Sus scrofa: one gene and its partner. The protein of the gene in region 1 interacts with the protein of each later gene in a pairwise test. Links are inferred from orthologs where the notes say so. Each region holds a gene or a part of one and is shown in the gene's direction. Other genes may lie near its edges.

Region 1 (3,747 bases):
CCTGACCCTGACCCTCCCTCCCTGACCCTTCAGCAGGATGTCACTGAAGACTCTGAGCAAGGGCGTGCCAAGAAAAAGGACTTCTGGGTGGCTGGCTGGGGAGAAGTCAGAGGTGGAGGCAGCTGTAGCACCAGGGAATGGAATGAGCCCCTGCATTTCGGTGGGGGTGAGAGGACGTGGGTTCTAGTCCCAAGTCTATGCGGACGTGCTGGGTGACCACAAGCAAGTTCCTCACCCTTCTGGTTCCTCCATCTTCTCCAAAAGCCCCTTGAGACCTCGACTGGGTGAACTGAGGTGTGTGGAGGGTGGGGTGTCACTTGGTTCAGTCTCTATTTTCTACTTTGCCCTTGAGAACCCCACCTAAGGAGGGTCCACACCCATGGTTCCCCGGCGCTTCGGGCCCAGATGGCTCAGCCTCGGGTGTGTCCTTGCCTCAGCTTTAGGTGCCTTTTTCTCACAGACGGAAAACAGGACCTTGGAGCCATGTGCAGCTGTGTGACTTCAGAGAAGGGACCTTGCCTCTTGCCTACTTGCGGGATGGCGGGAGCCACCAAGCCTGTGACTGTACAGCACCGCGCTCTGCAGGCAGGGAGGGCTCCTTGGCTGGTAACTGCCTTTCCTGCTCTTGTTCCCCCTCCGACTCCCTCCCATGTGTGGCTCTCGGCTGGAAGCCTCTGAGTCCGGCAGGGCCTCCTCTCTGGGGCTGAACATGCGCCCAAGGCCGGTGCGTCTCTGCCCAGGCTCGTCACGGGGACTGTGACATGGGCCACCCGGCCTGCTGAGCAGCCCCAACACTCACCCCGCCCTGGGCGGCTGCCCTGCGTCATTCCTCAGGGGACTGCCCAGCACCAGGGCCAGTCCCTCCCCAGGCACCTCTGTACAACCCAACCCACAGGGACTGCAACTACATTCCTCCCCCTTTTCTGTTTGATTGATTTTGGGGGATAGTTAAATACATTAAATTTTTTCAAAATTTAAAAGGCACCCCAAAGTATGTTATGAAAAAAAGCCCCTCCCACCACAGCATTCAGCCCCTTACTTCTTCCCGGAGACAACCCATCTAAATTCCTCCTAAAAACAATTAATCTTTTTTTTTTCTTTTTTCTTTTTGTCTTTTTGCCTTTTTCTCGGGCCGCACCTGAGGCATAGGGAGGTTCCCAGGCTAGGGATCGAATCAGAGCTGTAGCTGCCCGCCTACACCACAGCCACAGCAACTCGGGATCCAAGCTGCGTTTGCGACCCACACCACAGCTCATGGCAACGCTGGATCCTTAACCCACTGAGCAAGGCCAGGGATCGAACCTGAAACCTCATGGTTCCTAGTCGGATTTGTTAACCACTGAGCCACGACGGGAACTCCTAAAAACAATTAACCTTAATTTGGCGGCCCCTCCTTACAAAAATCATGAACGTTCAAAGTAAAGATTAACAAAACCAAACCCCACCACCCTGAAACAGACACAAAAGTACAAACTAACAACCCCCACCCCACCCCACCATCTGGATTTCCAGCCTTTTCAGTTTTGTCCTCCCAGACAGTTTGCAGTATCTATTCACTTTTGGAAAAATGAAAACAAAAGACAAGCTGATTATCACAATATTGACTTTTCCATATCTTGCCGGAACACTTCCTCCTGGTTCCTTCCTTATCAACAACGCTGATAGCTTTATGACCTTCCACAGAGGCTGCCTTATTTAACCAGACCCTGGCAATGGACATTTGGGGATTTCTAGATTTCCCTGTTATAAGAAACACAGTGATGGGCCCCCGAGACCTCACTGGCTACTTGTTTTATTTTCTTGTGACAAATTCCTAGAAAAGGAAATGGTAGGTCACAAGGTACGGCCACTTTTCAAGACCCATCAATCTGTCCTGATGTTCAGCAGGACTACGTGTCTGAGCCAAGTTCGGTTACCTCGAGCCAGGAAGTCTTGGTTCACACCCCTCTCAAGAGGAGCTGTGTGAGCTTCCATCCCCACCTCCACATCCAGACTAAGGCCACAGCCCTCCTCTGGACCTGGTGACCTAAGGCAGGTTGCCCCAGCCACCACGCCGCACCTGGGCCCATCCCAGTCCTGGATGAGTCAGCTGACCGGGGAGCAGGAACCCAGCTGGAACAAGGGCCACCGCCTTCCAGGGAGAGGAACAGACTCCGTTGGCAGTGGTTGGAGGAGGACAAGCAGCAGCACCTGGGCTGCAGGTAAGAGCCGGGTGCGGGGCCCCTAGAGCTCCGGAAGGGATCGGCGTGACCTGCTCTCTCCTGGCTTCTTCCCTCCTGGTCCCAACCCTTTGGGGACTTTCAGGCCTTTTCCTCTCAGGGTGCTTCTCTCTGGCAGTGAAACATGAACTGGGGTTTCCTCTTCTGACCCCAGCCCCGGGCCAGGTGTGACGGTTGGGTGATCTTCACCCAGACATGGCTAGGACTCTCCAGGCTCCTTCAGTCTGCCCGGGACTGCGCTCGCGGCTGGGACCCACACTTTGCTCCTTGAAATGGGCCCTTGGCAGGGCAAAGAGCACTTTCCACAAGGAGCCGAGTGCAGGCCTCAGTTTCTGTTACTTCTCTGCCTGAAGCTGTTTCCATCCACAAGCTCCCTGCCACGGCCAGGAAAACCTGCTGGGGAACTGGGCCGGCGGCCTGACCCGAGAGCTGGTTTCCTCTGTGGAGACTCCCACGCAGTCGGGGGAACTGAATGAGGTAATGGATATAAGGGCCCCGTACGTGCCCTCCACACAGTGAGCCTCAGAAAATGGTGCTTAAGATGGGGCTGCTGTGTGCCGGGCAGGCCCTGCGCTGGCCCAGACTCCCACCAGCTCTCCCCGCATCACTTCTCAGCTGGGCTCCCTGCCCACTGGGCCCCTCTAATCCATCCTCCAAATGAAAGTTAGACGTCACTCTGCTGCTCAACATTCTCCAGTGCCTCCCATTTCGCTGGAGTAAATGCCAAGCCCTCAGCATGACCCACAGGCCCTGCTGGATCTAGCCCCTCTCACCACCCCTGCAGTCGCCTGTCCTATGCTTCCCCTCTCAACAACCGACTTTGGTCTCCCTGCTCAGATATTTCCTGAACACAACAGGCACTCCCACCTCAGGGCCACTGCCGTGGCTGTGCCCTCAGCCTCAACGCTTCTCCCTCCCCATTGAAACTTTCACTCAAAAGGCATCTTCCACCCCCATCTCCCCCACCCAGCAGGGAGGCTCTTCGGGACCTCCGGGCTCTGTCTACCTCCCCCACCCGCCCCCGCCCTGCTTCATCTTTCTCCCCATCACGTCCTACCACCTAACACTGCACAGGCACTTACTTATTCAGCTAGGACGTGACACTCAAGGGCAGATTTTTCTTTTGTTCCCTGCCTAATTACTGGTACCCAGAACAGTACTGGGACTTAGGCACTCAGTAAATGTACTGCATGAACAACAGCTAATGACTACTGCGTACCCTTTATGTGCCAGTGCTTCCCATATATGTCTTATCTCTTTTAAGAAGCTTTTCATCTCTACGATAACACTGCGATGCAAGTATTGTTAAGCATATTACAGATAAACGACATGCCAAAAGGACATGTCCATGCTTGCTCTGCTAAATCAGAGGCAGCAGTCTGAACCCATCCTGCTTGCCTCTGAGGTCCTTGCTCCCACTCTGCCCCTCCTGGACAAGGATTCGGGAGTGTATCTGCATCCACTGAAGAAGTCCACAGCTTTCCTCCAGCAGGCAGTACAGCCTGAGAGGAGGGGAGTACATGCTGGT
Region 2 (3,747 bases), on another chromosome or scaffold:
GCCTGGGTGGGGCGCCAAGATTTTTGAGGAGATGGAGACTGAGAAACTGAGAGAGGAGTCAGAGGAGAAATTGGGAAGTGTGTACACCAAGGGACCAAAAGACAGTAGGGGCACCCCGAGACGAAATGGTGATGATCCATCAGTTATGTCTTTTTTATTAAGATGAAAATGATACAAAGATGAAGACTGATGATAAACAAATATAGGAGCGCACACGCACCAAAGATATCTTTTTCCAAACCCTAGCCTTCCGCCCCATCCACCTTCCAGACCTGTGTCACACACCCTAGCTCCGGTTCCCTCCTGAAACAGCAAGCTTCTCAAAATGACCCAAAGATACTGAGACTGTGGGTGAGGAGCCGAGGGTGTGTGGGTTAGAGTGGCCTGGAACCCCCAGCAAAGGAGACAGATACACTCCAGAAAGGCTGGGAAGAAGGCAGCAGAGGAAGGAGAAACATCAAGAAAGGGAAAATGTGGGAAATAAGGAGAGGAGTGAAGAAGGGTTGAGGAAAATCAGCTAAGGATATAGGGCCAGGTGACAGACTCAGGTGAGCCAGGAACTATGTTGTCTGGAAAGAGAGGGAAGACATCAGAGGTGGCATGCAGAGAGGGCAAGTGAGAAGTGGAGAAGAGGTGACAAGAAGAGAGATGGGAGATAGAAATGGATAAAGAGGAATGAAGAGAAATAGAAGGACCAGGCAAAGAAAAGTGAGGTGAGCCGGGCAAATAAGAAAGGTCGAAGGTGGAAAGGAGGCTGGAGAGCCTCGGCCCCTCCTCAGATCACAAGCAAGAGCCGCGAAGGGAGGAACCCAGCAGGGGACACAAATGTCAGCCTCGGGCAGGACGGAGGGTGGGCTGCCCTTTCTGCTCTCTAATCCCTCTCAAGGCCACCCAGCGAACCGAGAGGCAGGAGAGGGGAAATCCAGGGAGAAGTGGAAGTGGCTCCCGCCCTCTTCCTCCTCTTTAGGCTTTTGGTTTCTCAAATACCTGCCCGGCCTTTCCATCCGCTTCCCCCCACCCCATCCCTCGGCAAAATCTCAGGGCTTTTGGGGGTCGGGCTCCACGTTCGCAGGCAGTAGGTCGGGATTAGGAGAGGTCCCTCCCCGCAGGAACCCCACCCCTCCCCACCTCCTCGCCCCACTCCTTTCTCCGCGACCGTCAGTCTCTCCATTTCCCCCTCCTGGTCTAGTCCTCCCTCCCGCCTCTCGCGCACTCCCTCCCCTTGCTCTCATCCTCCTATCCCCACCTCTCCAACCTCCGCTTTCATCCCCCTCCCCTCTCCTCTCCTCCCCGCTCCCGCCTGCCCCACCCCTGGGAAGCCCCTCCCGTCGGGCAGCGCCGCTTTATAAGCGGGTTCCCTGCCCGGGGGCGGCAGCGGCTGGTCGGCGGCAGCTCTGCGGGTGCGGGGGCGGCGAGCCGAGGACCTAGCGATCGCGGCCGGAGCGCGCCGGCCACCGCCCGCACCGCCCTTCCGCCCGCCCTCTGGACGGCCGCAGCCCTGCGGGTCTCCGCTCCAGACCCACCCCCGCCCCACCCCGCGCGCCTCTGCCGCCTCTTCCAGAGCCCCAGCTTGCCCAGCGGCCGCCGCTGCCGCTGTCTCCGCCGCCGCCGCCACCGCGCCAGGTTCCGGCCGCGGCCACCTTCCGCCGTCCAGGGCCTCTCCATCTCGGCCCCGGGACCCCGGCTCCCCGCCAGCCCCGGCCCCGGCCCCGGCACCATGTCGGAGAAGAGCGTGGAGGCAGCGGCCGAGTTGAGCGCCAAGGTACGGGCGGGGCCGGCGTTAGCCTGGCCCCCGCGCGCCCCCGGGGCTCCGCGCGGTCGTGCGCCCCGGGCCGCCCCAGACGGCCCCACACTACTGCCCCGGCTCGGGGTCCCGGCGGACCCCGCTGCGCCCTCCCCCCCGCGCCCCAGCCCGGCGCTGCCTACCCCGCGCCGCGCGCCTAGCGCCAGCGCCCTCTAGCTTCCCGAGCGCCGCGCACCCGGCTCCCGGCCTGGCCGCTCCGGCCGGGTGCCGTCCCCACCCCTCTCCGGCCCTAGCTCGCTCGCCGCCACCCCAGCCGGTGTCCGTCGGAGCTCTGCGCGTCTCATCTGCCATGCCCCCTCCCCCGCGCCCCTCTCCGGCGCCCGGTCCCCGTCTCCCTTTCCAGTCTGACCTCACCTTTCCTCTGCTAAGCGGTTTGAGAGCCTGCGTCCAGTGTAAACAGGACTCTCCCGGGAGGCTGCTCCTCGCGGGCCCCTCCCCTCGAGGCCCGACCGGCTCTTGCTTATCTCCGAGAGCTACTGCCTCTGTTTTCTCCTTCCATCTACATCCGTTCCTTCCTCCTCTGGCCTTCAGCTTTCTTTTCTCTCCATAGCCCTCCGCGTCTCCCTCCCACACTTAGAGAAGCTCGAATTCCTAAAAACCAAAAGGGGGCCGGGAATAGCCTTCGAAAAAGCTGAGGCTCAGCATTGCATGGCATTGCATCGCGCCGCCTTTGCTCTCATCAGCTTCCTTCCCTGGCCCCATCCCTTCGCCCTTGCCTTTCTTCCAGCCTTCCTCTAATTTCCCTAGGGAACCTGCTGAGTGTTGCTTGGGGAAATTAATTCGGCCAGGGTTTGGGGGCGGGGAGCCCGACCTTGGGTGGGGGCGGTTGCTGGGGAGGCCACAGAGGTCTCCTGGAGGCCGTGAAGTGAAAAGGGGAACCAGTGGGGTTTAAGGCAGTGAGAGAGAGGGGTTCCGCGTGAGCGCTAAGGTGTGCTGAGCGGCCCTCCGGTGGGCTGGCTGTGCGGTGGCATGTGACTTCACTGAGTAGGTGTCTTTGTATGTCTGAAATCCAGCGAGTGTGTGGGACTGCCCGTGTCAGTTACATGTGTGCATGTGGAGACGTAGCTGTTCTGGAGCCATGTTGCTGCTTTGTGAGTGCCGAGTGGCTCCACTGTGCTCTAGTGCTGTCTCAAGAGTGTGTGCCAGCACGCCCAAACACCCGGCCATGTGTCTCTGGATTGCTTCAGCGCCCCTCGGTAGCGGTGTGTGTGAATCGGTGTCAGCCTGTGTCAGTGTGTGTGCCTGTGTTGGGTAAATGAGGCCAGAGAGCTGCTTAGCACAAGGCCCAGGTCACATACCCTCCTGGAAAAGGGATCATGGAAGGACAGTGACCAGAAGGACAGGACAGGACTGGACAGGGGAGGAGAGGGCCTGGCCCCTTGGACTTTGGCCTCTGCTAGTCTCCCTCCCTCCCTGGCACTTACTCTCCCTCCCTCTCCATCTGTCTGGGTGGGAAACTCAGGCCAGGGCCGCACAGACCTGGTACTGGGGCCACCAGAGAGAAGCTGACAACCCCTTGGCTCTCCAGGCCCAGGATGAAGGGGAAAGCCCACCAGGGAGTAGAAATGCCAGACTGGCCATGTGGAAAAGAAATGAGGACAGCGAAGTCGCGTGAAGAAACCTAGCTGAAGGGAAAGGGGGCCTGCGTTCTGTGCTCCCCATAAAGGGAGAAAGGACTTGAGTGTCCTTCTAGGCCAACCATCCTACACCAACCCCCTTTCCTATCCAACCCCCCCCTTTCCAGAAAGGACACACCCTCCCAGGGTGATCTACTCACCCAGAAAACTTCCATCCACATGGAATCAGATACACAGAGTTGCACACCAACACCAGGCCCGATCTGGTCACACAGACACCACAGTGCCTGCCAAGGGGTGGGGTGGAGAGAGAACTGGAATCTCAGTTGGAAGGGCCAGTGTGGTGTATCCTGACAGGGGACTCTT

Evidence for each region.
Region 2: the proteins of SDCBP2 (region 1) and PTMS interact in a two-hybrid assay, tested with the Homo sapiens proteins (2 studies listed by BioGRID and IntAct). The two-hybrid records come from large-scale screens. The link is inferred for Sus scrofa from reciprocal best matches to the Homo sapiens genes SDCBP2 and PTMS.

Annotation. Positions count from the first base shown.
Region 1 is NC_010459.5:33,966,014-33,969,760, forward strand, and holds the start of SDCBP2 (syntenin-2), read left to right. Parts: upstream 1-1,061; 5' UTR 1,062-2,201; intron 2,202-3,747.
Region 2 is NC_010447.5:63,939,290-63,943,036, reverse strand, and holds the start of PTMS (parathymosin), read left to right. Parts: upstream 1-924; 5' UTR 925-1,717; coding exon 1,718-1,762; intron 1,763-3,747.